4 linked regions of the Arabidopsis thaliana genome follow. The protein of the gene in region 3 purifies or fractionates together with the protein of the main gene of each other region. This does not show direct contact. Each region holds a gene or a part of one and is shown on either strand. Other genes may lie near its edges.

Region 1 (10,108 bases), 2.6 Mb from region 3:
TTTTGCTTTATTAATCTACACAAGCATACTGAATGTTATGCTTTATAAGCAGATAGAGTAGAGAAGAAATGGACCAATCAGTCTAAATTTAACAAAAGGAAAGAAAACGAGATATACCGTTTCATTTTGCTTGCCTGAAAATCCAACAGCGATGTGACCAAGTAACACCATGTAGAAACAATTAAAATCAATAACAACTCTTTGATTGTGGGATTCCAGTGATTTTTTATTTTTCCGTGTAATGGCTAAATCATCCCATGGAAGAAGATCGACAATCTCTGTGGCCAATAACCTGCTAATTGCCTGGCTCAAAAAGCATGGCCAGTCTTGAATTTGACATGAAGCTTCAACACTAAGGCCCTGTCTGAGCAGTTCGCGTAGCGCGGCAATTGCACCTCGCCTCCTCTCTGCATTTTCTGGCGTGCGTGGCAGGCCCAGTAGATCCAATGTGCAAGGTGGTGCAAGCTCCTCTAGTGACTCCTCAATCTATAAATATCAATTTTAACCCCTTAAAACCCAATATGCTGGTAAATTATGCTTTTGGACAATACGTACTTATATGTGAAGCTCCTAAACATGATGCGATTTACAGTAAGGCATGATCATGCACTTTTAATAATTCAAGCCAGTAACAGGGCTAAAAGTAAACTCAGAGAAGCTTTATATATACTAATGCAAGACAGTAGAACCTGTTACCTGAGTTAACAATGCAAGTTTCCCAAGAGTAACTTTACTCTTCAGAAAACTTTGAGCACGAGCAAGAGCTTCAAATCCTTGAGAGACCTTGTTAACCTCGAAAGCAGCCTTGGCAATTGCACACTAAATGGAAAACAAACATATTAGAGATAGAAGAAGCAGAGGATAGTGAAAGTAGATAACTAGTTCCCATTCTTAGTTCATTTGATTTTACCTCAGCAAGTGCCATAGATAAGAATATATCATGAATATATGGCTTTGAATCAAGGTTCCTGAGAGCAGCCCGGCCAATATCCAGCACAAGTTTTTCTTGTCCAACCTGAAGCATAGTAGCAGAAAGATCAGTACAAAACATTTGCAGGGATAAAACGCAATAAAAGGTCAGAAGTAGTACCTCTTGAAGAAGGCATAGAGCACCAGGCAACCATGCCCACGGAATTCTGAGAGGAGATTTAGGAGCAATCTTTTCTTTTAGGTTACCAGCATATTCTGATTCAAAAAGAAGTTTATCCCTAACATCCATGAGAAGATCCTACACATTAAGAACAAAGTATCAAGAAACTGAAGCCACATTCCCTGTCCAACTCTAGTGATACTATAGGTCTTAACCTGGCGAGCTGCAGCAGCTTCCATTGTATAACCCTCTTCAGCATCAGTTTTTTTCAAATTTATAACCGACTTAACGACCTCGTCTTTCTCAGCTTGCTCAGAAACTCCGATAAGCTGCAAAATCAATACAATTAACAGTATCCTGGAATAATGTCTAACAAACGAAACGCTACATTCTTTACACTCTATTGCAGAAATGAACTATGATACAATATTAAATTGCCAAATCAATACATCCATCTCGTTCTACGCGCTAGAGACTACAAATTGGAGGAAAATGTTTCTATTTCAACAAAATTTAGAAGGATAAAAACAAGTTCCACTTGCACTTCAACGAGGAGCTAAGTAGCAAATCGCGAGAGATAGTAGTATCTACAGAGATTCCGAAAAGTAAGTCAGTCGGAGCAAAATACCTGGTAACACGTAACCGGGAGTTCGATTGTAGAGGTAGATGCAGCGAGAGAAGAAGTACGAGACGGCGCATTGTCGACGACATGGATACCACCACCAGCAGCATTCAACCTCCTCCGTCCTTCTCGCTGAAACCGCCGCAAAGATAAACCAGAACCGAAGAATTCACCGGATTCAGAACGAACGACGAGGAGACCTGAGATCTGAAGCTCCGGGCGATCTACGACGAAGCTGGTGCTGCGATTGGAGATTCCGCAAAGCAGACAAGAAGAAGGGAGAACTGGAAATGTGTAAGCTACTGGCATTGCGCAACAGCTCCAGAAAACGAACGAACCCTAGAAGAAGTAGAGTGAAGCTGGAATCATGGTACAATTTGTTGGATTTCTTCAGAGGAGAAAAAATCGGAAATTTGGTCTCAAGGCTTTTGAGTTTTGACAGTGATTTTTGCCTTTTTCTGAAAGTTTCGTCTTGTGACGATAATAAGGTAACCCGCTGGCCGAAAGAGAGGCTCTGCTAATCTAGGACTAGACGAGACGAGACGTGGTCACGTGATCACGCCACGTGGATAATAAAGAAACATCTGGAAGATTATTTTATCCGTCCCTGGACATGGGCCTAGCTCTCGGCCCATAACTAATGTGCGAGAGAAACTACTGCAAGCTCATCGCATGCTACCAGTAGTCTAGTACTGATCAAAGGTTTAATTTGTGTGTAAGAAAAAACTTATATATAATTTAAAATTTGTTTAAATCTGATCAATATGATTTTTTCTGAATCAAATACCTGGAAAGTATATGTCTGGTGTAAACTTTTAACTTGATCAGATTTTGTAATACTTTCACTTAAGTTTAATATCATGAAAAAAGATTTAAGATATTTTGTAGTCATTATATTTTTGGAGGATAGCAAATTGCAACACTCAAACACATTTGGCTATATGAGAACCACGTTTCCTTTCTTGCAAATCAGCACCTCTTTTTTGTCCCGACTTAAAAATTCAGAAAAATAAAATGCCAATTTAGTAAAATAGAGAATATTTTTCACAATAATTTTGTGTGTTGTACAAGAAATGAGGTATTTCATTTTATTTTATTTTACTTTTTTCCTCTACAAGCAAAAACACACAACTACACAAGGATAAAACCTCTTGCCGTTGGGTTTATTTAGCTTCTTTGCAATATCCTTAATTTCGTCTCCGTCAGTAGCAGTCTCCGCCGGGAATATTTTTTTTCCGGTAGCTATGCTCCGAACCGTCTCTTGTTTAGCTTCGCGCAGCTCGTCCTCTCTATTCTTTCGCTTCTTTCGTCAGTTCCCTCGCTCTTACATGTCTCTCACATCGTCGACGGCAGCTCTCCGTGTCCCCAGTCGCAATCTTCGCCGAATTTCCTCTCCCTCAGTCGCCGGTAGACGTCTTTTGCTCCGACGAGGTTTGAGGATTCCCTCCGCCGCAGTTCGCAGTGTCAATGGGCAGTTCTCTCGCCTCTCTGTTCGCGCCGTCGCCACACAACCCGCTCCACTTTATCCTGGTTGGAATTTTTCACATATACTTCTTTTTTTCAATCTGTTTGAAGTTTAATTGCTAATTGATTTGTTCTCTTAATTCGGACATGTTGATTTGTGGCACTTGTGAAATTGTGGTTCTTACTTTAGGATAGGTTGTGAATTGTAGATAGGTGTGGTCCGTGTGGTGCATTTTTCATCTCATGCTTTGTGTCTACTTTGTAATCAAATGGAGCCATGTGTAACCTCTGCTGATGCGTGATTTTCCTTATTTTTGGTTGTTTGGATTCAGATGTAGGTCAAGATGAGGCTGAGAAGCTTGGATTTGAAAAAGTGTCGGAAGAATTCATCTCAGAGTGTAAATCAAAGGCGATACTCTTCAAACACAAGAAAACTGGTTGCGAGGTGATGTCTGTGTCAAATGAGGATGAGAACAAGGTCTTCGGTGTTGTTTTCAGAACTCCTCCGTAAGTTTACTTCATAATAATTTTTACTCTCTGTAAATTTGACCTGAGTATGTATTAGGCAATTGAAATTGGTACCTAAAGCTTCACTCCTTGAATTTAACTAATTGAAATGGTCAAGTTTATCTCTACTCATCAAAGCTTTTTTTTTCTGATTAGACCTAGTCATTTCGTTTCTTCTTCTAATATATTGGTACTTGTAAAGTGGTCTAAGTTTTGGAGGTTACAACTTGTCAAATTACTTAACGCTTTGTTAAAAGTCGATATGAGCAACTGCACTTTCAGTAGATATTGGTCCCACAGGCACCTCCTTGTGAAAGACTTGCAAAAACTAATAATGGAAGCAATTTTAGATCATAGTTTCGTTGTTAATGCAGGAAGGATTCCACTGGCATTCCGCACATACTGGAACATAGCGTTCTATGTGGGTCAAGAAAGTACCCGGTAAAAGAGCCATTTGTTGAACTACTCAAGGGAAGTTTGCATACTTTTCTAAATGCATTCACATATCCTGATAGGACCTGCTACCCAGTTGCTTCCACCAATACAAAGGTACAATGAGCCAAACATTAAGTCCTTCTTTTGTTGTCCTCAGTGGGCTAACCTCTTTCTTTCTGTTATTGTTATCTAAAGTGAGTCTATTTCTGATCACAACTCATCACTATCACTATCTATGGTAGGATTTTTACAATCTTGTCGATGTATATTTGGATGCTGTCTTCTTCCCCAAGTGTGTGGATGACGCTCACACCTTTCAGCAAGAGGGCTGGCACTATGAACTTAATGATCCCTCGGAAGACATATCTTACAAAGGTTTTATTTACCTAGGATTCCATTTTAGAGCTCTTTTCCTCTACTTTTCTTAGTATCGATGATATCTTTTAGTTTATCAGCTACTTCAGATACCCACTCATCCTATCTCATTGTTGATGTTTGATTTCAGGTGTTGTTTTTAATGAGATGAAAGGGGTCTATTCACAGCCTGATAATATTTTAGGGCGAATTGCTCAACAGGCAAGTATTGTGTTTTGCTTACTATAACTAGAAGTTTCTCGTTGTTGGTTTAACCTGATCTTGGGTTTTGACCTTATTAATCAACTAAATGATATAGCCATCATGAAAGAGTCGTTTGGACACTTGGAACAAAAACCTTGTTAGATAATCTGAGACATATTTGAATTTCCTTGATATAGTGGTTCTGATGAAATCAGCTACTACTGTTTTCACTTTTATTAGGCCTTATCCCCAGAAAATACATATGGTGTTGACAGTGGAGGTGATCCAAAAGATATTCCTAATCTGACATTTGAGGAATTCAAGGTTTGTTAGAAGTCAAATTAATATGCTAGTATATTTCTTGTAATGTGTAACTTCTGATGCATACTAAGTATATTTCTTGTTTTGGGACAATTTTAGGAGTTCCACCGTCAATATTATCACCCAAGCAACGCCAGGATCTGGTTCTATGGAGATGATGATCCCGTTCACCGCCTCCGTGTCTTGAGTGGTAAAGATTGATATCTCCTTTGTCTTACTAGAAAGAATCCTCATATTTTTTGTGTTTGTCGTCTATGTCGATTTGAAATACATCTTATCCCTGCGTTTCTTATATGTGCAGAATACTTGGATATGTTTGAAGCAAGTCCATCTCCCAATAGTTCAAAGATTAAATTTCAAAAGCTATTCTCTGAGCCTGTCAGACTGGTTGAGAAATATCCTGCTGGTCGAGATGGTGACCTTAAAAAGAAGCATATGTTGTGCGTTAACTGGCTATTGTCTGAGAAGCCCTTGGACTTGCAAACTCAACTTGCACTTGGCTTCTTGGATCATCTTATGCTGGGGACTCCTGCTTCACCACTAAGAAAGATCTTATTGGAAAGCGGTTTAGGAGAAGCTCTTGTCAGTAGTGGGTTGTCAGACGAACTCTTGCAGCCCCAGTTCGGTATTGGTTTGAAAGGTGTGTCCGAAGAGAATGTTCAAAAGGTTGAAGAGTTGATCATGGATACTCTGAAAAAGTTGGCAGAAGAAGGGTTTGACAATGATGCTGTGGAGGCATCCATGAATACAATTGAGTTTTCTTTGAGGGAAAACAACACAGGATCTTTCCCTCGTGGTTTATCACTTATGCTCCAATCTATTGTAAGTTAATATGCATTTTATGCTTACGTGTATGTCTATTCAGGTATCACTCCTTATTTGATTATTGTTTTTTTTAGTCAAAATGGATATACGATATGGATCCTTTTGAGCCATTAAAGTATACGGAACCATTGAAGGCCCTGAAAACCAGAATAGCTGAGGAGGGATCCAAGGCTGTCTTTTCCCCACTGATAGAGAAGCTTATCTTGAACAACTCGCATCGTGTTACCATAGAGATGCAGGTGATCTTTTACAAGTTTCTCGTTGCTATATAATGTTTCTTTGCTTTTGTGCTAACACTAGTTTTGCCAGCCTGATCCTGAAAAAGCTACTCAAGAGGAAGTGGAAGAGAAAAATATCCTGGAAAAAGTTAAAGCAGCTATGACAGAAGAAGATCTTGCAGAGCTAGCACGTGCTACAGAGGAGCTGAAATTGAAACAAGAAACTCCTGACCCTCCTGAAGCATTGAGATGTGTCCCAAGTTTGAACTTGGGTGACATTCCAAAAGAACCTACTTATGTTCCCACCGAGGTTGCTTTTGTTTTTGTTGTATTTCCTTATTTCCCGAGCTTGCGAAGTTTACTGATATGTTTTAAACAATAGGTTGGAGATATTAATGGTGTGAAGGTTTTGCGGCATGACCTTTTCACCAATGATATTATCTATACTGAAGTAGTCTTTGATATTGGTTCGCTGAAACATGAGCTTCTTCCACTAGTACCACTTTTCTGGTATGATTAAAGATTTCTTATGATTTCTTTATGAGTTTCTTACCAACTTTTTCCAGAAATGTGTATGGTGGGAATGCTAAATGAAGAATGTTGTTAGATTCTCTGCCATGCATTTTCAAAAGCATGGGAATTTTTTTATATTTTAGGGTGTACGTTGACAGCTGTAATAACGAATGTTTTACTTCTGTTCATACTGTATTGATATACTAACTCTGATAATAAATGTATTTTGACAGTCAATCATTACTGGAGATGGGCACAAAAGATTTGACTTTTGTTCAACTTAATCAGTTGATTGGAAGGAAAACGGGAGGGATATCAGTTTATCCCCTTACATCATCAGTGAGGGGTAAGGATGAACCATGCAGCAAAATTATCGTACGCGGAAAATCCATGGCTGGGCGTGCTGACGACCTTTTTAACCTGGTACTTTGTCATTTAAAAATCCCTTGCTTTAGCTTATCGCATTTTTCTCTAATTTTATGTATGTTGGCTTATGGGATATATAGTGCTGCCTACGTGATCACGATCATGTTTTCTTCGGTCTCCATGGCCCTGTAGTTAGTTTGCTAAATGTAGTTTACCAATTTGCTTGTGTTTAGATTTGTGTATGTTAGGTTATGGGATGTGTAGAGCTGTCTACCTGATAGATTTTTCTTTTGCTTGGGTCTCCATGAGATACAGTGCAGCTGTTACTGTGAGTCTGTGACACTGTGTAGATCTTTATTTTTTTCCTGTTTTTCCAAAATACAAAAGCGCTGCCTCTCTCATCTCTTTGCCCTTGTCTCTTTCTTCTCTAAGAAGTACTTGATGTTTTCTCGATGTCTTCGCTATGAGCCTATGACTACTGGATTATGGTAACAGTCACTCTGACTGCAAACCTGTTTTTTTCTGTTAAGATATAATGTAACCTTGATATAGAAACAGTTGTAGCGTATGGTGATTGAAGAACTTTTCAAAATGTTCAGTGTCTTTCATGAATCAGTACCATGATCCAACTAGACATTTATTCAATCCCATATTCGATTTTTTTTCTGTCAAACTTCTAGGTTGGCTCTTATCTTCATTGCTTTTTGTCTTCCTGCAGATGAACTGCTTGTTGCAAGAGGTTCAATTTACAGATCAGCAGAGGTTTAAACAGTTTGTCTCTCAAAGCAGAGCACGGATGGAGGTATGTAGTAGGGGTTTTCTTTTCTGTCTTTGCATGATAAGTGGAACTTGAAAGTAGTAGTATAAACATCACTTCACATTCTATGCAGAACCGATTGAGGGGAAGTGGTCATGGAATTGCTGCGGCGAGGATGGATGCAATGTTGAACATTGCTGGATGGATGTCTGAACAGATGGGTGGTCTCAGGTTGGAATTTGATAATTGTTTATTTAACTTTTAATTTGGCCCTTATTTATATCGTCTTCTCTCTCTGGTCTTGATCTCTGTTGAGAATGAACTTTATTCACATTTTAGAGTTTATCTCTACTATTCTTTTGATACTTGTAGAACCTAACAAAGTTGAGCATCTCTCTTTTGTAGCTATCTTGAATTTTTACATACTCTTGAAAAGAAAGTGGATGAAGACTGGGAAGGAATTTCATCCTCGCTTGAGGAGATCAGAAGATCTCTCCTTGCTAGAAACGGTTGCATAGTTAATATGACTGCTGATGGGAAGTCTCTCACAAATGTCGAAAAATCTGTTGCAAAATTTCTAGATTTACTCCCTGAGAACCCGTCTGGTGGGCTTGTCACTTGGGATGGTCGACTTCCTCTGAGAAATGAAGCCATTGTAATACCAACCCAGGTAAAAAAAAGACGTTTATATAGTAATATAGAATGTGGTTGGGTTTATTATTTTTGATACAGTAACTCGCTCTCATACTCCCTTTGCAGGTAAACTATGTTGGAAAAGCGGGTAACATATACAGCACCGGGTATGAGCTTGATGGCAGTGCGTATGTTATATCAAAGCATATTAGCAATACATGGTTATGGGATCGTGTTCGTGTAAGTGGTGGTGCATATGGAGGTTTCTGTGATTTCGATTCGCATTCAGGTACAATAACTGCTTTCTACTCTCTTGAATATGAAAAGAGTTACGTCAATTAATATATTCTTCTATTGGCCATATCTTTGTTCAGGAGTATTTTCTTACTTATCGTACCGGGATCCAAACTTGTTGAAGACACTTGATATATATGATGGAACTGGAGATTTCTTACGTGGCCTTGATGTGGATCAAGAAACACTCACTAAAGCTATTATTGGCACCATCGGTGATGTTGATTCATACCAATTACCTGATGCCAAAGGTTATAGCAGGTAAATGATGTTATTTTATTTTGTTTCTGTTTGCCTATTTGAACAAACATAACGGATCCTGAATCAAAATTGTTGAATCTCTTTCACCCAGTTTGTTGAGGCATTTACTCGGAGTAACTGACGAAGAACGACAAAGAAAGCGTGAAGAGATACTAACAACAAGGTTGGTTAAATTAAGGACATTCTCTCAATAAATTTTCTTCTGCATCCTAACTAAAAGTGTTAATTAACTTTTGTTGTTCCACAGTTTGAAGGACTTCAAGGATTTCGCACAAGCAATAGATGTGGTTAGAGATAAAGGTGTTGCGGTGGCTGTGGCATCCGCGGAAGACATTGATGCAGCGAACAATGAACGCTCCAACTTTTTCGAGGTGAAGAAAGCTCTCTAAACAGATTGGACAACTTTCAGTAATACTATTTACGATTGAGAATCTCATTAGATTTCTCTTGGTTTCTTTTCTACCGGAGTCAATGTCTTGTCAAAGCTATATTATTGAATGTCCAAACGTTACGAATTTTCACAGTAAATGAAGCATTTTCACAACCAATGTCCAACCTTAAAATAATTTACTCATTTTCTTCCCTTTCCACATTGCTCTTTTTGGTCAGTTTTAATTTTATTAAAAATTGATAAAAGTACATATGCTAAATCGCCAACGGGAAAACAAAAACCCCTGAAAAATTAAGTTGGCGAAAAATGCTGAAATTTCCGAAGACAACAACCCTAGAAAAAAAAATCCAAGTAGTTTCGTAATGACTTATTGCATTGCGACAAGACAAATGTTACGAAAATATATTAGCATGTGTTACTTTCTATTAGATTCTTTCGTAAATTCATTTTTTCCCATTTTTCCTCAAATTTATTTAGTAAGTTTTCCACTTAGTCTAAAATACTTTCATAGATTCGTATACATCATTCTATCATCCAGTTTACATTTTCATCGCACAATACAAAAATATTAGGGCCTGCCCAAAATATTATGTAGTAACTACGAAAATTTATGGAAAATTTAAAACTAGGAAAATGGAAATGAAGAAAAGGAAAAGAAAAAATATATATACACTTGTCTAGAAACGTTCATATGCAATATATGTTACCACTAAAGAATGAAAGTATGTATATAGGGAAAATATTGTTTTCAGATTTGTAACCCTAATAACCACAAAGTCCTTACTCCTTGGAGGAAGCATCATCAAGCTTTGAAGATCAAGTCTTACTTCCTATGAGCACCTCCAACGCTGAA
Region 2 (6,491 bases), on a different chromosome or scaffold from region 3:
GCTGATCTCCTCATCTTCAACACTGGTCACTGGTGGAGCCACACCGGATCTATGCAAGGGTAAGTTACCACACTTCCAATGACTTGATTTTCTAGTGTGAAAGTTTCTTTATATATCTTCTTGTGAACACAGATGGGACTTGATTCAATCAGGCAATTCTTATTACCAAGACATGGACCGTTTTGTGGCAATGGAGAAAGCACTTCGTACTTGGGCGTATTGGGTCGAAACTCACGTTGATAGATCCCGAACACAAGTCTTGTTCCTCTCCATTTCTCCAACACACGACAAGTAACTCAGCCTCTCTTGTTATATTGGATCATATTTTCTGATGTTTTTGAAATGAATGTCCTGACACCATTTGTATACATTTTGGGATTGATCAGCCCGAGTGACTGGGCGGCATCATCGTCTTCAGGATCCAAGAACTGCTACGGAGAAACAGAACCGATCACAGGAACAGCTTATCCAGTGAGCTCCTACACAGATCAGCTAAGATCAGTGATTGTTGAAGTGCTTCACGGGATGCACAATCCGGCGTTTCTTCTCGACATAACACTCCTCTCTTCCCTAAGAAAAGACGGTCATCCGTCAGTATACAGCGGCCTCATTAGCGGTTCACAAAGGTCTAGACCAGACCAGTCTGCAGATTGTAGCCATTGGTGTTTGCCTGGTTTACCTGATACATGGAACCAGTTGTTGTATACGCTTCTCATCTATTAGCTTCTTTTTAAATCTCTTTCCATCAAATTATTCGGTTAGTAATATTTTAACACATTCGAAGAGAGAATCTTAAGATTAATCACGGAATCAGTCAATTGTATAAACTTTTTGAGGAAATTTTCTTTCAAATGAATTATAATTTTTATTCCATGCAAACAAAGCATAGTAACAAGAAATTTAACAATGGCAAGCCCAAAACAAACAGTATTGGGCTTTTAAAAAAATACATTCGATGGGCTTATTGGAAAAAAGCCTTTTAGGGTTTTCTCAAAACCTCTCTACTATAAATAGAGGAAATCCAACTTTAGAGTTTAAGAAGAAGCAATCCAAAATCAATTCACTGAAAAGCTTCGTTTTTAATCCTGTAGTTTTCATAGGGTTTGGTGTTCTCTCTATTGTTGTTATTGGGCTTGCCTTTTGTCTAGGATTATCATGATTTATGTTTATTGAAAGATTGGCTTCATCAGATAGTCTATGTGGATTTGTTCGTTCCCATATGATTCGTTCCCTTGAAGCAAAATCAATCGTGTTGCTTTCGTTATTTATATAATTCTCCCTATGAATCTTCGGTGATTTCGTATTTATACGATTTTTGCTGATGTTGATTTGGGAGAATCACAACTGAGCAGCTATATATTATTCGTATTGAAATCTAGATTTGGGTTTTTGTATAAGTTTTTGGAAGAACAGTGATGAGTCAGTTTACAGACCTGTAATGATTGCGGTAATGATCGCATTATTATGAACATCTAAGGGACTGAGTTCTTCTTTCTAATATGATTTAACAACTTCAATTTGTTTTTGTTGGTTAATGTTTTTTTGTTTAATCTGATAAAGAGGCTGATGAAGATTAGATATTAATGGTTACTGAAATTTCAATAAGTGTGTTGATATACTATCTTCTTGACTAGGACTGCTGAGGCTAATCTTTGAATTCTAAGGAATTATGTTTTCTCTTTTTGATTTAATGAAATTAGATTGTGGATGATGAGAACAAATATGAAAAAACAGTTATCCCTGTCTGAGGATTTTAATCCCTTTGATGATTCATTTGTAATCTGACACAACCTTCCAGTTCATATCGTTTTGGGTTTTGCTTGTTGACTATTTATTTCAGACCCTAAATTATACAAACACGAAGATTTGTCATTGAAACAACGCAGCTTCATTCAAAAACGGATTTTAAAATTGGAAATCAGACAAATGACTAAGCGGGTCCCTTTTGACTTTAGCATCAATATTCAATATTACCGTGCCAGTAATAAGAGTTCTCGAGTCCATGAAATGATGTTGTATCAGTTTTCGTTCAGCATTTCAATAAATTCACGATGTTTTGGTCAAAATATCTTACTACCTATCGACTGTTATCGGACTTCAGGTTCTACTCTTTGAGTCGTCGACAATGAAAACGTTTCTTTTTCCTACTGTAACGAGAAGGCAAACAAGTGGTATTTTGTTACGATAAAAAACAGGTCAAAAAAAAAATTTGTTAATTGAATGTTTAACACGTTTCCAAAATTTATAAATGTTCATATTCAGCTTACATTGTACTAGCATCGGCAGTAGTTGATTGAATACTAGTGTCGAGTGACATCAGCTTGATATCAAAGCATGATTGATTACATTATATAATATCCATTTGTAAATAATCCACCTCTCAAAAAAAAAAAAATTAATAAATAAATAATCCACCTCCGTTCATATATAAAGATTGTCACGGTGGTCTACCTTAACACTACAAAGGCAGTCCACGACTGAGAAAAAAAAAGCAGTTCAAATTTTTTTCGTATGTGTTAAGGATGGAGTACATTCATAGAGCATCATCTACATTCTACTCCAAGATAAATGTGGAGTATCTGTATTACTTTTAGTTTTGTAAAGAGATTATACATAATTTAAATATGGTACATTACTCATTACAGGTCTTTGAGCTGTGGCGTTCCTTAGCCATGATGTTTCATCCTCTATATTGTCGATACGAGTTCACACTTTCTAGCTTCATCTACATACCAAAATCATGAATTGTCGTATAGGGCCTTAATGGGCTTAAATGACCGAGATAATGACCTGTTAGCCCACTAGAGATAATTCAGAAGCCTAACTTTGGATATAAAGTTTAAAAACCCTGGTTCCAGTTTTTTCTTCTGGTTCTCGAAACTTCTTCTCCCAAATTGAACAACCAAAGAAGTTGCAGAGCACACACACACACTTTCAAGTTTCAATACAGAGATGGCGAGCACTGAGCCAGAGCGTGAGAACCGTGAAGATGAAACCGAAGTCAACGAAGATGAAGACACCGGAGCTCAGGTAGCTCCGATCGTTAGGCTTGAAGAGGTTGCAGTCACCACCGGCGAAGAAGATGAAGACGCCGTCCTCGATCTGTATGTTACTCGTTCCGTTAATATTCTAGTTTCCTTGCCTCTGGTTAAAGTGAGTGTTGGATTTTCGATAGAAGATGAGTGTCGGATTTTTGATAGAAGATGTATTCTTCTGGGTTTATGATTTTGTAGGAAATCGAAGATGTATCGATTCGATAAAGAAGGGAACCAATGGAAGGAGAGAGGAGCTGGAACTGTGAAGTTATTGAAGCATAAGGAAACTGGAAAAGTTCGTCTTGTTATGAGACAATCTAAAACCCTAAAGATCTGTGCCAATCACCTCAGTATGTTTGATTCTCTCTCGAAGAAGATCTTTTTTTTTTTTCTTCGAAAGGGCTAAACTTTATGTATCTTTTGTTGAAATTATGCAGTTTCGTCTGGGATGAGTGTTCAGGAACATAGTGGGAATGAAAAGTCTTGTTTATGGCACGCTACTGATTTCTCCGACGGCGAGTTGAAAGATGAGCTTTTCTGCATTCGATTTGCTTCCATTGAGAGTAAGTTTATACTTGTGAAATTCGTATACTTGTTTTTGATTGAGAGTAACGTGGGTACATTTAGTAGTATTCGATGTTTAATTTATGATAGTTGAATCAGGGAAGATGGTTTGGAAGGTATTCTTTATAAGACTCTAGTTGTGATGATTTAAGTCTCCCATGAATTGTGATTCATCAAGTCCATATAGATAGCTCAAGACTGAAATGGAATACTGCTTTTGTAGTGGCAATACTTATAATGTTGCCTCATTTTATAATTTTAGGGAGACATTGTTGTCTTGAGAATAAACATCTCAGGCCATTTTCCAAGACTCTGTTGGTCTCTGCGGTTGTGGGTCTTATCACTAAACAAATGAACAAAAGGGTTCCATGATCCTTAAGTTGTGCTAAACAACTACCATAATCGTATCTATGTTAAATTAGACGCTGACATAATCTATGAGATTAATATCCTAGGGTCTGCATCTGTCTTTTTGGTTTTAGATTCTCGAGTGGCTAACTGATAGTGTTGCATCAACAGATTGCAAAACATTTATGGAGAAGTTCACTGAAATAGCTGAAAGCCAGCAAGTAGGGAAAGAGAGCACCCAGGGCGACGAGGCTGCTGGTTTAATAGAGAATCTTTCGGTTGAGGAAAATATAAGTGAGGAGAAAGCCAAGGAAGCAGAAGAGAAAGAGCCTGCAAAGGAAGATAAAGAAACAAAAAAGGAGAAGGTAGAAGAAGAGAAGAAAACAGAGGCAAGCACTTAAGTGATCAAATTAAAATTGGTTGTTGGCATCACTAAGTGTGCTTTGCTTTATTTTAATATATTATACTTGGCACTGAACATGATGGTAGCTTCAAAAGTTTGAGTCTTTGCGCTGTGTTAGAGAAAGAGAATCTTAAGATTTTTTTTTATGTTGTTGCTGTGTAAGTGTTTGACTATTGTGTCGTCTCTTTACTGTGTCAATTTGGTTTAAGATAATAGTATTCGGCATCAAATTAGTATCCTTGCTTTCATCTTCAATCATCCGAAATGGATTTGTGGCCAGCAGGTTACACAATCTGTAATTGACATGTTTGGTGTTGCAGCAAAGGGAACAATCATGTGGTGCTTCTAAGAAGTAAAAACTAGTTAGTTAATTTTGGACCCAACAAATTTGTATGGACCCTAAACCTATAATTCGAAAGGCTCCACCACAAATAACACCATGTTTTAAGCACTTCTCTATCTCTCTTTCACCATTTAATTTCCTCTGACCATGAGCTGTTCCTGCATTGAATATCAGATTTTATCTTTTATGCCTCATTTCTAAGTACCCTTGTATGTGTTTTTCTAAACGTTTATCTTCACAATAGCACTAGTAAGTGGATGTATGATAATTGATACTTTGATGTATGTGCCAACTATTTCTTACATACAATTGTACATTGTAGGCTACAATTTGTAGCACAACTATATTATTACTATTTACTAGAAATGGCGAAAAAAACAAACAATACCGAACATCAAAGTCGAAACTAAACTTTTATAATAAATCATATTTTTTAAAAATCATATTTTAGTTAATTATATGCAAGAATACTTATATTTATATGATTATACGATTATATCCAAACCAAAACCAAAATAAAATGTGGTTTTCTAACTCCGACTCATTTCTCAAAAGTGAAAAGAACCCAAAATGCTTAAACCAAACCAAATCAAGGAACTGAACGCATAAAGCTAAGAGTTACAACATGACCAACAAGGAACAAAAGAAAATAGGTCAAAAAGAAGTAAAGAAGGCTAAATGCTTGGAAGTTGGAAAAATAAAGGCCCAAAATAAGGAGTAGTGTTGTGGTGTTGGCAACTGCAATTGCAATCCTTATTTTATGGGAAGAAGAGTCACTTTTGGTCAATAAAGTTCTTATTATAGACTCCAAATCTCTCCCCCCCCCCCCCCCTCACCTATCTACATTTATATCTTTCTTATTATTTCCATGACTGCCATTTTCATGGAAAGTCATTTTCTCGCACCTGTTTGACAAACAATTATTATACCACTCAAGTACAATACCTGCACTTCTATGTGAATAATGCAAAAATATAAGAAAACTCTTAAATGACCCTTAAGCTAATCGAAATTTAGGAAGCATTATTCTTTTATTCTTTAGTACTATAGTCTATAATATTGAGAAGTGAAAAAAATTATCATTTTAGAGAATCATGGGGATTTGTTCCCTCCGTCGCCTTGACGAGTCACTTAGTTTTGAAGATTTACCATCAAAGACCCTCCTCGGCTCCTCGTGGTTAGGTCCTGCGCACATCGAATATATATGTCGCAGGTATAGATGATATGATACTATAATATATGCTTTTTAAGAAAAACGAATAAAAGTAGTAGTATAAGATTTGATTAATAGAGAAACGTGTAAAGAGGTTTTGATGAAAAAATTGCATAGCGTTCCTCGTCTTCTACTTTTGCTTTATGTTCACGTAAAATCTTCCGATCTCTCACCCTACTTGCCTTCTTTTCTAAGCTAACTTTCATGTGACATCCATTACCTACTTCTCTTGTATTATTACCCATTTCTGATTCTCATTTGTTTATATAGTTCTTCATCTTACTAATGACAATTTAGGAACGCAGGATTACTTGATGTATTAAGACTATTATGTAATTTGTTTAATGACAAGGTCATGTGTTGAAGTTGAACCTAAAATCGAGTATATATATAGAACACACAAAAAAATCTATGGAAGTATATATATCAACATATGTTTAGAGATTGGTTCATAATGTAGTTATAAAGATACAAAACAAACCCCACCCTTCTTTTAAACTCTATTATTTTGGTTGCAACCACAACACACTAAAAGACAAAGGCCCATAATTTTCTTTTCAAGTACTTCTACACATCACATTTCAT
Region 3 (7,899 bases):
ACTGCCACATATTCAATAGGTATAATATATGTATGCTCTCGGATACAACAAGAGCTAGCAGCTAATCCCACAAAATCTTGAGGTTTGTTACTTACTGGATGAGGGTTATGGATGAGTTCATAATCTACGATTTTAACTCTGATTCATGGAGGGTTCTTGATGTCACTCCAGATTGGACGATAAGTTATATGAACCTTGGCGTGTCTCTCAAGGGAAATGCATACTGGTTTGCTACTGAGAGATATTCCGAAACAGACGATTATTTCTTAGTCTGTTTTGATTTCACAAGAGAGACATTTGGGCCTCTTTTGACTCTTCCGTTTGTGTTTGTTAAATCTGAAGATGTTATGTGTGTATCTAATGTTAGAGAAGAGCAGCTTGCGGTTTTATATCAGCCGTGGGATAAATAAAAGATGGAGATCTGGATTACGTCTACGATTGAGCCCAACGCGGTGTCGTGGAACAGCAAGGTGTTCTTATCAGTGAGTATAAGAAAACTCATTGGCCCTCCGTTTCAGTTTTGTTTGGGGAGTTTCTTCATTGACGAGGAGAAGAAAGTCGCTGTGGTTTTTGATAAAGACTACAAAGATAAGCGCAACATAGCTTACATCATTGGAGACTTTGGAGTCGATGGATCCTTTAAAGAAGGGATCTCGGAGAATCAGCCTACGCAATGTGTTACCCACTTATGTGCTCTTATGTTCCAACTTCCAAGTCTAGTGCAATTTAATTAGTCGACCATCTACTTCTTGCATATTTTTGCTCGTTTTTTTTTCCTACCTAACCATCTAGTTCAAACATTATCTTTTGCTAAAGTTGGGAAGTGTGGTGGAAATGTCTTCTCCTTTTTTTTCTTGTAATGAGTCTTGTACGGTGGTGGTTATATCGATCTACGTCGGTTGTGTTCCCCTCGGTGATCTCGACCTCAGCGTAGGTGGCGATCAATGTTGGAAATGAAAATTCCTCCTCTGGATTATCAGTCTATCTTTTATTGGTATATTGCCATATATGTCTTCATATGGTATTCTGCTATCTTTCAATGAACATCACAAAAATAGTGATGCTTAATGTCTTCATATGATTCCCCTAAAGTTAGTGCTTTTGTGTTTTGTGTGACATATGGGATTGTCATATATATTTCGAATCTTTTTCGTTTGTTACACAATTAATTGCCTTAAAAAATTCAAACTATTAATTAAAAAGAAAAATCAGATAATTAAAATTCAGTGGCAACTATTGTAAATAAGTACCAACTCCAAGATTTATTTCACAAAATGGCTGCAAAATGTATATGTAGATATTTAGCTTAAGGAGGAGTCTAAATTTAACTTTAGAATTTTTTTAGAATATAATGTATATTAGAGTAAAAACATTTAGAATATACATATAAGGATTAAATTATATTGTGTATTATTTTTTACTGCATAAAATTGATTTGTAATTTTGAGAAATATAAGATAAATTTGCAAAAATTAACGAATTGGAAGATTGTTTTGCAAAAAATCCAAATATTTTGATATAAATTATTTGATCTATTGTTACCATATATTTTTGAACCATTTAATCCGTATTTTTCCTTGAAATGTGTTTGATATGGTTTATTTTGCATAAACAACTTGATTTGTGAATTTCATTTTCCTATTTGAAATCTCTTTACTATATAACTAGCCTTGTTGGGCGCGATCCACATATGTATTATATGATACTTTTGCTCATTAGTTAAAAAAAACAAAATGAATAGTTATTAGTCAAAACCCAATGTAGAGATATTGCCGACGTAGTCAACACATATGAATATGATATGATCCTGCAAAAAATTTTAACGACGTTAGAACCTAAAGAACATATGTGTTCTGGAACCACCTTTCTGTCACTTAACTCTGTCATCACCTTTCGAATAAATGATTTAAGGAGTTCTCTAGAAGACTAGAATCTTCCGTAACCTAAAACTCAACCTCATGTAGAAAGACTCACAAATCCAATTCCTCTATTCTCCTGCGAAAAACGGTTTCTTTATATCTCTCACGATTTGATTTCCTCTTCGCTTTTTTTAATTGAATTGAGATTGATGGATGATAATTTTAATTTCAAGATTTTTTTGTTAATCTTGTAATGGAAAATATTAAAAATAATTGCTTCAATATTGCAAAGCTTTGATATTTTAGAAAACAATTTTATTTAATAAAAGTGATATATATATATATATATATGTTATAGTATATTAAAAGTAAATTAGATTTAAAAGAAAGTGAGTGTATAAGAGACAAAACACGAAAAAAAAAATATGATTGAGGATGACAAATGGATTATAATTTCATATATATACATAATGAATTCAAGCTTGTAACTTATGAAAATTTAGGGGGATAATTAATACTCAATTCTAGATTTATTTATTTGCAACGTATCCATCTATACCTAGAGAATTTTTAATAATTTGTAAGCAAAAAATCTTGAAAGACCACAAATGGATTTGAATTTGTTCTGGATTTGTACTGTGATAATCCATTTTGCTTTGCTTGATTAGTTTTTACTTTTTACCATTGGTAATAATTTGGGATCATGTTTAGTTGTTTACTAGATAACCAATTTTGTTGGGCCTGATCCAACAATTTTGCCGATTATAAAGTAAATAAGTGAATAGTTAAGCCCAATATAAATTTACGAGTGACGGATCATCTGTGTTCTCGAACCATCTTTTTAACGAACTCTCTAGAACCCTTTTTCTTTTTCACCCAAAACCCAACCTCGTATAAATCTCACCAATCCATTTCTTCTCTTCTTCTTTGCGTTTTTTGTTTGGAACTGAATCGAAAAAGATGGATGCTAATTTCGAGATGCCTCCAGTCGGTGGAATGAACGACGACGACGACATGGATTTCGGTGACGGCGCCTCGTTTCTTAAAGTCGGTGAAGAGAAAGAGATCCAACAAGGTTTGAAGAAGAAGCTTCTTAAAGAAGGTGAAGGATATGAAACTCCTGAGAATGGCGATGAAGTTGAAGGTAATTAATTAATCGATTCAGATACTAATGCTTTTCGATTTAGGTTTTTTTGAATCGAAGCTTGAGCTTGATTTGTTTCTGCAGTGCATTACACTGGAACTTTGCTTGATGGGACGAAGTTTGATTCGAGTCGTGATAGAGCAACGCCTTTCAAATTCACTCTTGGACAAGGTTTGTGATTCTCATCTCCTAAAGACCTAATAGTTTCCGTATAGTTAGTAATCTGGAGAATTCGGTAGACTAATTTGATAGATATGAACTTGAATTGAGATATAGTTGTTGTTAAGTTCAAAATCGAATTTTTGTTGATGAATGTGTAATGGTTTGTGGTTGTTGGCATTGTGTTTTTGCAGGTCAAGTTATTAAAGGATGGGATATTGGTATTAAGACGATGAAGAAAGGTGAAAACGCTGTTTTCACTATACCTGCGGAGCTAGCATATGGGGAATCTGGTTCCCCGCCAACTATTCCTGCGAATGCTACGCTTCAGTTTGATGTGGAGTTGCTTAAATGGGACAGTGTGAAGGATATATGTAAAGATGGTGGTGTGTTTAAGAAGATTCTTGCTGTTGGAGAGAAGTGGGAGAATCCAAAGGACCTTGATGAAGTTCTTGGTGTGTGTTCACTCTCTTATGGCCTGCTTTAGAGGTTGGTGTGTGTTTGATTTTGCTAACGGTGTTTCCTGTGTATTTGTTAATTCAGTTAAGTTTGAGGCGAAACTTGAGGATGGTACTGTTGTTGGGAAATCTGATGGTGTGGAGTTCACTGTTAAAGATGGTTAGTGCTCTGAATTCTTTTAAGATATGATGGGATATGTTGGATAATGTATTCGCTCTTTGACATTCTTTGTGATCTATGATCATTAATAGGTCATTTCTGCCCTGCACTTACTAAGGCTGTGAAAACTATGAAAAAGGGTGAAAAGGTCCTTCTGACAGTTAAACCACAATGTAAGACGATTTGTCTCAATTGTTTTTTCACTGATCCTGGTATGGTGTGTATATCATCTCTTATTCCAATGTGCTTCTGAATGAGACAGATGGTTTTGGGGAGAAGGGCAAGCCAGCCTCTGCTGGTGAAGGCGCGGTTCCTCCTAATGCGACGCTCGAGATCAATTTGGAGTTAGTTTCGTGGAAAACAGTGTCAGAAGTAACTGATGATAACAAGGTTGTGAAGAAAGTCTTGAAGGAAGGGGATGGATATGAGCGTCCTAACGAGGGGGCAGTTGTGAAAGGTTTGCATTTCGGATTTTAGTACACTCATGTCTTCACCAGATATAACGGTTTCTTACGGGGTTTCATTTGTTTCTTTCTGGCAGTGAAATTGATAGGGAAACTTCAAGATGGTACTGTATTTTTGAAGAAAGGTCATGGTGAGAATGAGGAACCGTTTGAGTTCAAAACAGATGAAGGTAACTACACAGTTCCTAGTATTTTTCTGATAACTTTCCTTTGGATAGTTGGATGTGCTGGATTTTCCATGGCTTACTTAGTCATGGTAACTCATTTACTGGATGCTTAAACAGAGCAAGTTGTCGATGGACTTGATAGAGCTGTCATGAAGATGAAAAAGGGTGAAGTGGCATTGGTGACCATAGACCCTGAGTATGCCTTTGGTTCTAATGAGTCACAACAGGAATTGGCTGTGGTGCCGCCAAACTCAACTGTTACTTATGAGGTTGACCTATTGACTTTCGACAAGGTTAGTGAAGTATTTTGGATGCTTATGCCGCTCACAATTCAGTCAATATGGAAGTATAAGAGTCCAACACTTGTTTGTCATTGGCTTTTTAGGAAAGGGAATCGTGGGACATGAACACTGAGGAGAAGATTGAAGCTGCTAGTAAGAAGAAGGAAGAAGGAAATTCCAAGTTTAAAGGAGGCAAATATTCCCTGGCTTCCAAGAGATATGAGAAGGTATATGATACGAACTACTTATTGCTTTATGAGTTATAAGTCGAACAACATCTTACATGGTTAAGTTTCTTCTCAGGCTGTCAAATTCATTGAATACGACACATCCTTCAGTGAGGAAGAGAAGAAGCAAGCAAAAGCATTGAAGGTGGCATGCAATCTAAACGATGCAGCCTGCAAACTCAAATTGAAAGATTACAAGCAGGCCGAAAAACTATGCACAAAGGTAATAATAATTGGTTGTTAAGACCACAAGTCCTTTATGTCAGTTTTAAAGCCTAGCTGAACAAAACTGATGGAGATGGTGGTTTTGGTATTTAGGTGTTAGAGCTAGAAAGCACCAATGTGAAGGCCTTATACCGGAGAGCGCAAGCGTACATGGAGTTGTCTGATTTAGACTTGGCCGAGTTTGATGTCAAGAAGGCCCTTGAAATCGATCCCAACAACAGGTTTGTCTCTTACTCTTTAACTCTTATTTAATGTTACATTTGGCTTTTGTATCTTTTAATCCACAGCATGATAATGTCTTCTTTATATACTAACAGAAGACTAAATTTGCTATTTTATTTGCTAATGATAGGGAAGTGAAGCTAGAGCAGAAAAGGTTGAAGGAGAAAATGAAGGAATTCAATAAAAAGGAAGCCAAATTTTATGGAAACATGTTTGCGAAACTAAGTGTAAGTATCTCAATGGTTTGATCATATGTTATAAGTAGATGATAGTAGTTAGTGGGAATATGATGATAACCAAATCTTGTATTGGTGGGAACTTGCAGAAGGAATAATCAAAAGATGGAGAGGCAATGAGCACCTGAGGTCTTGAAAACGTTGCAAGAACTCTGCATTTTTCATTTTCTACTCTTTTGGTTTGTTGCAATGTTTTCTAGTTTTTCAACCTGAGCGTTAGTGAGACACTAAGACTTATAAAACAGTGAGAGATTATCCCAATGTGTTGCTTTTTTCGTCTGATTGTTGGTAGAAACTTGGAGCTATTGATAGCAAAAAAAACCTAACTTTCCAGATTAATTTGAGTTCTTAATATGATATCGAGACAAAATAGTTGCTTGTGCCGTTGTGTTGGACCTTTGGTGGACTTATACCACCGGGATGAATCATAAACCACTGATTCGCAATTACGGCTAATTCTACTGGTTTCAACGTGCAGCAAATAATCAATCACAACTAGATCATCTTTAGTGGTACGCGTAGAGTGTATTTCACACTCCAACAAATTTTTAAGAGCTCTACGAATGTGCACAAGGCTTTATTGATTATTGCAACGATGTCGCTTAGTTTACTTAATAATATGTTGAAATCCAAGATATTGAATAGGTAAATATCCCACTGATCAATACCAGCCAGCCCTCCTCATATAGTGAAGTTTTTTGTCATATTTATATGTAAGCTAGACATAGACCAAACGTAGCCAAAACCTCAAGAATTCCACCAAGAGGTAAGGGTGAGCCATCTGAGATCTCATTAGATAGTAGTGTTGATCGCTAACCATCTCGTACATGTCGGATTAGTAGGCTTCTCGTATGAGATTGATACGGGGTCAATCTCATATGACATATCATTGGAAGGTACCTTCCCTTACGAGATCTCGACAAATATCAAAACAACTACAACACTTTTCTTGGTAAAGGTACAACTAGGCCAATACCAGAAGAAGAAAAAAAATAAGCTCACCAAAGTTGCTGAAAATGCCTAGGTAATGAGACATGATTTTAGAAATCACTTGAAACCTTCGCTCATTTTGAATAAAAGTAAAGGGCATAAATGATTGATTGCATCAAATATATTTTTACTTTTCGGACAAGCTTTTACAATGGATTGGATATATTTTCTTGTGAGAAGAATAGAAAAGGGATATTCTATAACTGCTTTATATCTCGTGTCCGTCCACGTCACCACATCTGACGACTGGAATAATCCTCAGGTACCATCGGATATACTTTCCTAAGCACCGGTCTTACCTCAAATATAATGAGATAAAACTTTTTATTAAACCAAATCTTTATCTTCCCATAAATGGTAAAAACAAAACATAGAAAGCTACGAATATTCCAAGCTAAATTCTCTACTTAAGTTTTAGTTATAAATGTGATTCTCTCACCTTTTCACTTTTCACTAAAATTCTCATCAATCACACTATTATAGCTCTCAGCAATCATCACTCAAAAATCTATGGCGATTTTCTCCAGAACCAAACGTGTCACTGATCCACTTGACGACGACGCGAAGGCTCGGATCTTGAGCAGCCACAGTTACATCCTAGACCAAGATTCTCCTCGACTCTGCGAGCTCGTACACGGGTTTCTTGAGGATGGTCCTGAAGAGTCATTCTACGACTCTGACCCCGACCTGTCTGAGACTTCTTCAGCTGAACATTCTGGTGAAGCTAGTGTGGAGATCGTGAGAATGGCGGTGAGCTTCTCCGATTCCGATCCTTACCGGAATCTATTGCTAGCTCACGTTTTGAGAGCCGTGGAGGTATATTCCGGTTTTAGGTCAAGGAACAAAACTGTTTTCCGGGATAAGGTAGCTTCGTTTCTGCGAGAGCTTGGTCACGACGCCGCGGTTTGTGTATCAAAATGGACCTCTTCATCCAAACTCATCGCTGGGAGTTACCATTTCATTGACGTCGTTCACAAGCCGTCAGATAATGATCAGAAGGCCGTCCGTTACTTGGTTGATCTAGACTTTGCTTCGGAGTTCGAGATCGCAAGGCCAACGCGCGAATACACGCGTGGGCTGCAGCTGCTGCCTAACGTTTTCGTAGGAAATGAAGAGAATCTAAGGACGATCGTGAGAGAGTCATGCGACGCGGCGAAGCGATCAATGAAGAGCCGTGGCTTGTCTCTTCCACCGTGGCGGAGAAGCTCTTACTTACAGCATAAGTGGTTTGGTCCGTACAAAAGAAAGGTGGGATCTAGTTTGGGAGTGAAGCCGTTGAATAGTGACGCCGTTAGTTGCCGATCTTT
Region 4 (6,741 bases), on a different chromosome or scaffold from region 3:
CGTGCTCCACCGCCTCCGCGTCCTCCACCTCCTCCACCTCCTCCTTTTTTGATAACGACAGCTAATTCCCGAGCCTTTCCTTCAAACACAACAACGTCTGGCTTTGAAACACTAAAAGGGAGAGTCTCGTGGTTTGTATCGACTGAGGAAGGTCGTGAGCTCACGGAAGGAAGATTGTGCTGAAGATGAAAGATGAAGAGAATGTACAAAACCAACCATGTTCTTCTCAAACCCATTTTCTTTATCTTTTCTCTTGTTTTGTCTGTATTATATCTCACTTTCCCCTTTGATCTATTTATATAAGCCTCAGAAAGAAATTAAACGCGGCAAAAGTGGTTGCCAGCAGTTTCGACGTAGTCTCTCATTATGATGCTGCCACGAAAATATCCAAAAAAGATTTATTTCTTTTTTAAAAAAAGAAATATCCAATAAAGATTTATTATACTTATCCATATTTATATTTATTGACCTTTGTTTTAAACAATATAGATTTTATGAAGGAGCACACAAACTAAAAAAAAAGTAAGGTTAATTAGGAGATAAGTGTTTCCAGATGTCGTGGATGGAAAAGAATTAATCCATCTAAATTCATTTCTGGTATCATGTTAATGAAAAATCAGTTAGATAGCAAATAGAATAAAAATGAAGGAAATAAATAGCATGATTATAAAAAGGTTTGGCCGCGTGTACAAGTTGACTGTCAGGGTCAATTTTGGGTTATAGAGCAAAGAAAAGTGGACCATATTGATGACAACTTTCACATGTCTACCATTCTTGATTTTCAGAATTTGAATCTTTTGATATGTTATATTCCCTAAATATTTATCAGGAAATATCTTATTACAAAACCTGATATTTTCTGTCAATTTGTTTTTTTTTTTGTAAATTATTTTTTAAATAGCACACAAATATTAATGTGTTTAAAGTTAGAACTCAAACCAATTTATTGCGATTTTCTTAAAGAAGTTTAGATAATAAGACCTAAAGTGAAAACAGAAACTATTTTCTTCTTTTTAGGGTTTACATATATTAAATTATAAGTAACCTGTCATCTTTTTAGTGAATAATCAATTTTTTTTTCCATAAAAAAATCTTACAAAAAAAAAAAGTTGACATATTTGAATTTATCCAATTAAGGGGGTATAATTCAATCAAATTAAAATTTAAAATCCAAATTTAATAAAGTTTGAAATCCAAGCAATTCATTGTTATGTTTAAATATGGTGTTATAGGAATGGTTTATATGTTTGTATTATTCCAAATTTATTTTAAAAGTGTTATAAATTTAATAAAATCTTAACCTAAGCATAATCCATTGTTATTCATTCACATATGGTCTTACTGGATATGATTTATATAAATCATGCTTTGGTAATTTTAGCACAGTATAGTACAATGTCATTTTTTTTCCGTGAACAGTTCGTTATAACTGAAGAATTTTATGAATACTGTTAATATACATTTTGGATCTTTATCAGGGTCAAGACTAGCATCGACTAACACAAGAGAGCAAAGTAGATTGGCAATTACCTTTTTTTTGTCAAACAATTGGCAATTACCTTAAGATTAAAAAATCACATGCATTAAATTTTGAAAAAAAAAAAATGGAGACTTCTGATTCTTGTCCATGGACAAACACATTTGTATCCTCAAAATAAGACCATCCAAAAAGGATCCATGAGAAAACTTAAAACAATGAAACCAATGTACTCTTTCAGATAACCAACATGAAAAAATATTTCACCCAAATCTCTCATATCACCCGACACTTTAGACTCAAAAACTATTAGACCCATAACGACTCAGCATTCAGTAAAACCCGACCCCAAGCGATCCCCCAACCACTTGATATGACTCGACAAAACATGTATAGATAGATAGTGCCAAGACAATGGTAGACTCATGATGCATCAAAACATTTCGAGGCTTAATTACCTCGCCAGGATTTGGCAACTTAAATGATGACGCTTCTTATGTTGAGGGACCACTTTCTTCTGTTTTCTTTGCTTCACCAGATTTCTCTGCCTCGCTCTCTTTCTTTTCTTCTGCTTTCACTTCAGTCTTTGCCGTCTCCACAGCTTTCGCTTCGGTTTTCTCCTCCGTTTTTGTCTCTTCCACAGTCAATTTCTCAAGAAGGCCAGCAGTGTCAGCGGCATCTTTGCTCTCTTCTTTCTCTTCTTCAGACTCAGCAACTTCCTTGAACTTTTGCATAAATGTTTTGCAATCTGACAAGGAAAATAAGATTTGATTACCCACAAGCATCTCTACTTTTCCCGGTTAATATGATCAACAGCTCAGAAACTACTGATAATATTTACCCAAAATAAAAAAAGAAACAGTCGACCATGTTGGCATATCAAATTAGTTGCAGCCTAAATACATACTTGACCACCTCAAGAACAATATTATCTCTTTACAATGCAATACCACAACCTAACCGCCACAGTACTTATTTTGATATTTCCTGAACCCAATAACGCATGCCTATGATGGAAGCTTTGAGAACCTCCAATTAACAAAGTAGCCATATAGCAATGCTAAGGTCAAGATCCATCAGTAATCTAATCCGTGAATCTATCAAACCAACTGAGACTAAATAAGGCAAAACACAAGCCATTACAAAATTCGGTTTCATACTCACTCTCAATAGAAGCAAATCGGATACAGAAAAGCTCATCCTTGAGTTCACCATCAGCAAAGTCACGAGCGTGCCACACACATGACTTTTCATTCCCAACGTGTTCCTGAACACTCATGCCCGATTTAACTGCAGAAATATCAGAAGCATAAGACTAGATAAGGAAACAGTAACCTAAATACAGATCCAGATGCAACTCAAAAACAACACAAAGTAGTCCAAATAGAAATTATACCGAAGTGATTAGCACAGATCTTCAAAGTTTTAGATTGCCTCATAACGAGACGAATCTTCCCAGTGTTCTTATGCTTTAAGAACTTCACAGTACCAGCTCCTCTCTCCTTCCACTGATTCGCATCCTTATCGAATCGATAAAGCTTCGATTTCCTTTAGATTCACAAACAAAAATTCAGTCAAACACACCAAAAGCTAAACCTTATAAATTCGATCAGATCCAGTTGACCTAGATCAGAAAAACTATAAACACCAATTAAGAAAAACACTTACAGATCAAGGACGGCATCTTCGTCTTCCTCGCCGGTAGTGACGGCAACCTCCTCAAGCCTAACGATCGGAGCGACCTGAGCTCCGGTGTCCTCATCCTCGTTAGCTCCGGCCTCTTCCTCGTCTCTGTGCTCGTGCTCGGGTTCGTTGGTCGCCATAGTATTTACTGAGATTTCCTCGTGGATTCAATTGGTCGCTACGGTGCGGCGTACGCGAGAGAGATAGAGAGAAGAGAATTTGGGGGTTTCGCAACACAGGAAATCGGAACGACTCATAGTTATACGGCGTTGAATTGAAGCTAACTATGGGCCGATTTCTTATGACAAAAAATATATATGGCCCATATAAACCCATTGTATCTGGGTTATTTTTAAAGCTATTTATCTCAAGGGAAATTAATCCTTTTTTAGAGAAATCTTAATGATTTATAGCATAGAGATTAGAGAAAAATCTTAAAGATCGAAAAAAGAATATGATGATATGCTTGAGCTAAACTCTATGTAACGACTTCGTTCAGTTTGATACATAATCGTACATGCATAACCTTGGTCCTTCAGGCCTAGTCGAAACAAACAACCATCTTCAACCGGTCCGGTTCCCTCTATGATTCATTTAAATGCTCCAAAATCCGAATACTTATTAGGATGAATCAAAAGTCTTCTAAAGCATAAAACCAAAGTCTCTTTTGGCCTCTTGAGTCTTCCACCAGCTTACGAACCAAAACCATTTGTCGCAATATTTTTTCACATTAAAATACAACTATTTGGCTGTAAACGAGAGTTATCAATATAAGGCAATGGCTCGTAATTAAGACACTCGATCTCATCTCACCGCGTAAAAGATAGTTTTGTCCGATCCGAATCACATGTGCAAACAAACAAAACTTGAGGCTGTGATTAAAAGACAACGTTTCGAGTTTATTGCTTTGATTATACTGATACAACAAATACATAGTGAGAACAATTTCCCTAAAGATACATGTAGTATAAACCATAATTTCCATTAATAAATGTAAAACCACCACAAATTCATATGGCAGCGCCGCCGCCGATCCCCCGTTTCCAGGCGGTAAATTCTGAGACATAGAAACGTCAATTATCGCCGAGTCACCAGCCACGTCATCGTTTGGATCCGATGATGTGTTATATTCCGATTCTACCCTTGTGGATCCCGAATATTCCATTGTTGTCCCTTCCTCTTCCGAAGCGTGGCATCTAACTTCCACCCAACCATCTGACTCCCAAATTACTCCTCCGGTCGTCGCCAAATTACAAATTATTGCCTTCGCCGCGTCTTCGAATTCTGATCTCCCTACTTCCTCTTCTTCTTCTTCTAAGTCAAACCCCGAGTTGACCCAGTCAAGTACGCAACGCGGAGATGACTCAGTCGGAGATGAGTTGTGACACTGAGAGAGAAATGGATGCTGCAAAAGCTGATCGCAACTCCACCTCTGATTCGGGTCTCGCTTCAGACACTTTTCTAGGAAATCACGGCCGATTTCCGACAACTTCGAGGGGAAAACCGGTAACTCGTCAGAGAAACTGATTCGACTCAGCGAGTCAATTCCGTGGTCTTCCCAAGCGGGTTTCCCAGTGAACATCTCGATGATCGTGCAGCCGAGAGACCAGACGTCACTCTCCGGACCTTGGTACTCTCGTCTGATCACCTCCGGAGCCATCCAAAGCGGACTTCCACGTGGCGTGATCAGAGCCCTCGGTGTGTGGATTCTGAACGCCGACCCAAAATCGGCTAACTTGACCATGGAGCTTTGGCTGACGAGGATGTTCCTCGCCTTGACGTCGCAGTGAACGAATCCTTGAGAGTGTACGTGGCGGAGAGCAGAGACAAGACACGCCGTGTAACGCTGGAGCAGAGTCTCGTCTTCGATTTTTCCTCCGGCTCTGTGACTAGCCACGTCACCGTTTGGGAGATACTCTAAGTAGAGATTCCTAAACGTCGTCGTTCCTTCTTTCGAGACTCCGTCGCCGAGAAACTTCACGATGTAAGGGTGAGGCTTTAGCGAGCGGAAGACAGATATTTCGTTCTCGAGAGACTCTGATTGAGTGGGGAGACTCGTGGCGAGATCCACGGATTTCACGGCGAAAACTTCACCGTTGGTTTTGCTGATCGCCGTACTAACTGCACCGAAACAACCTCTGCCGATACACGCACCACGAACCCAAAAAGAAGATGGTGAGGATAACATTAAAGAAGAAGAACAAGTGTTTCTGATGCTCTGTTTCTCCATGTGTGCCAACTTTCATATGTCGTACTTGTGCAACACGAAGCTATTTATATGCGTGTTTTGGAACTGCAAAACAGAAAATGTGAACGTGAAATAAAGTTGCAATTTTTTTTGTTTCTGACATGGACTATTCTTGTACACTTGTCTTTTCGATTTGTAAAGTCTCATCTTTGTAAAATTTCCCACGTGGATATGTCATGTACAACACAAACTTTCGAGTCTATCATTAGATTTTTGAACAAATTATACCATGTTCGATGGTCGGTTTGGATTTTAACAATTTTAATTATATATACATCTATTGAAATCTAGACTTAATCCTTACAAATTTTTTACTTTTATGGAATGATTAGTCGTTTTGAAAAGAGAACAAATAAATCAGAAAAAGGATCATTTTAGAAATTAGAAGAAAATGTTTTATGTCACTCCTAATGACACTTGGAGAAGTTCTTGGGATGTTTTTAAGAAACAATGCACTTGCCCTGTCTCCTTAATCCTTATCCACCAAGACTCAAGTTGCGGTTTGATCTTGTCCGCTAATATTTTACTCAGCAAAGATAAAATCACACACACCCTCTAGCTTCACGCAATCGTTTTCGTTTTTATAACCTCAACATTTAAAAAATCGTCTCTTTACTTAAGTGATCGGATCACCGATCGTGGAGAAGACAAATGAACAAAAACGTGCCTATAGATTTGGAACGCTTGATTTATTGACTTATTTCTGGTATGTTTCTATTTGGTTGACCTGAAGACATGATCAGACATGGAATATACGGTAGTCGACGTACGTACAAATCATTATCAAGGATTCATGAATCCAAACCATGTCTTAGCCAATCATAAGCAATGGACATAAATTAATTTATATTCGTCAAACAATTAACATAAAGAAGGTGAGGGTGTACAGTAACAGAATATATACGCGAAGTAGATGATATCCGAATAAATTATCGGAGTTGTCAAAGGGGTTGGAGATGAAGGAAGAGGTTGCCGAAAGGGGTTGGGTTTTAAAAATGGGGGTCCATTTGGAAACTTACGTGGCATGAAGCGGTTGGCTCACGTTCTTTGACATATTAACGAGTTGTCTGAACACACATATTGGGAATTGACGTGCTTGATCAACCTCCACGCATAGTGAAAATATTATATTAGTTTTTATTCTTTGTTTGGTTGGGATCATGAAGGAAGCACAAGAATTTACTCAAAAACGTTATCCAAAGATATCACGGAGATCGAGTTGAAGATGGAAGGTAGAAAATAAAAGATAGGGTTTTAACTTTTAATTGAGGAGATCGTTGGTTGGGAATTAATCTTGGGATGGTTAATAGCCAGATCACTACAATAGTATCTT

What was found.
Region 1: the proteins of ROF1 (region 3) and PREP1 fractionate together in Arabidopsis thaliana (co-fractionation; one large-scale study listed by BioGRID). This does not show direct contact.
Region 2: the proteins of ROF1 (region 3) and RANBP1 fractionate together in Arabidopsis thaliana (co-fractionation; one large-scale study listed by BioGRID). This does not show direct contact.
Region 4: the proteins of ROF1 (region 3) and SIRANBP fractionate together in Arabidopsis thaliana (co-fractionation; one large-scale study listed by BioGRID). This does not show direct contact.

What each region holds. Positions count from the first base shown.
Region 1 is NC_003074.8:6,624,723-6,634,830, reverse strand, and holds PREP1 (presequence protease 1), read left to right. Parts: upstream 1-2,666; 5' UTR 2,667-2,956; coding exon 2,957-3,242; intron 3,243-3,508; coding exon 3,509-3,683; intron 3,684-4,057; coding exon 4,058-4,232; intron 4,233-4,360; coding exon 4,361-4,493; intron 4,494-4,573; coding exon of another isoform or gene 4,574-4,611; intron 4,612-4,623; coding exon 4,624-4,694; intron 4,695-4,916; coding exon 4,917-5,000; intron 5,001-5,096; coding exon 5,097-5,187; intron 5,188-5,298; coding exon 5,299-5,819; intron 5,820-5,896; coding exon 5,897-6,061; intron 6,062-6,131; coding exon 6,132-6,350; intron 6,351-6,422; coding exon 6,423-6,550; intron 6,551-6,786; coding exon 6,787-6,976; intron 6,977-7,637; coding exon 7,638-7,721; intron 7,722-7,809; coding exon 7,810-7,907; intron 7,908-8,081; coding exon 8,082-8,346; intron 8,347-8,435; coding exon 8,436-8,598; intron 8,599-8,683; coding exon 8,684-8,864; intron 8,865-8,955; coding exon 8,956-9,027; intron 9,028-9,111; and 3 more. Other genes in the region: PARC6 (plastid division protein), read right to left, coding at 1-15, 118-486, 697-819, 911-1,015, 1,091-1,228, 1,306-1,419, 1,719-2,021. UniProt on the Arabidopsis thaliana protein: ATP-independent protease that degrades both mitochondrial and chloroplastic transit peptides after their cleavage. Also degrades other unstructured peptides. Specific for peptides in the range of 10 to 65 residues.
Region 2 is NC_003076.8:23,678,176-23,684,666, reverse strand, and holds RANBP1 (RAN binding protein 1), read left to right. Parts: upstream 1-2,731; 5' UTR 2,732-2,952; coding exon 2,953-3,104; intron 3,105-3,233; coding exon 3,234-3,385; intron 3,386-3,472; coding exon 3,473-3,598; intron 3,599-4,118; coding exon 4,119-4,348; 3' UTR 4,349-4,604; downstream 4,605-6,491. Other genes in the region: PMR5 (Pmr5/Cas1p GDSL/SGNH-like acyl-esterase family protein (DUF828)), read left to right, coding at 1-59, 133-291, 387-723.
Region 3 is NC_003074.8:9,185,438-9,193,336, forward strand, and holds ROF1 (rotamase FKBP 1), read left to right. Parts: upstream 1-2,743; 5' UTR 2,744-2,819; coding exon 2,820-3,003; intron 3,004-3,087; coding exon 3,088-3,174; intron 3,175-3,356; coding exon 3,357-3,617; intron 3,618-3,705; coding exon 3,706-3,780; intron 3,781-3,872; coding exon 3,873-3,953; intron 3,954-4,042; coding exon 4,043-4,237; intron 4,238-4,321; coding exon 4,322-4,414; intron 4,415-4,528; coding exon 4,529-4,704; intron 4,705-4,796; coding exon 4,797-4,919; intron 4,920-4,995; coding exon 4,996-5,142; intron 5,143-5,237; coding exon 5,238-5,365; intron 5,366-5,496; coding exon 5,497-5,591; coding exon of another isoform or gene 5,592-5,593; intron 5,594-5,691; coding exon of another isoform or gene 5,692-5,694; coding exon 5,695-5,738; 3' UTR 5,739-5,982; downstream 5,983-7,899. Other genes in the region: AT3G25240 (sulfate/thiosulfate import ATP-binding protein, putative (DUF506)), read left to right, coding at 7,103-7,899. UniProt on the Arabidopsis thaliana protein: PPIases accelerate the folding of proteins. It catalyzes the cis-trans isomerization of proline imidic peptide bonds in oligopeptides.
Region 4 is NC_003070.9:2,190,389-2,197,129, forward strand, and holds SIRANBP (Pleckstrin homology (PH) domain superfamily protein), read right to left. Parts: upstream 3,449-6,741; 5' UTR 3,301-3,448; coding exon 3,146-3,300; intron 3,026-3,145; coding exon 2,874-3,025; intron 2,768-2,873; coding exon 2,642-2,767; intron 2,226-2,641; coding exon 1,972-2,225; 3' UTR 1,291-1,971; downstream 1-1,290. Other genes in the region: AT1G07135 (glycine-rich protein), read right to left, coding at 1-236; MAPKKK13 (mitogen-activated protein kinase kinase kinase 13), read right to left, coding at 3,891-5,390.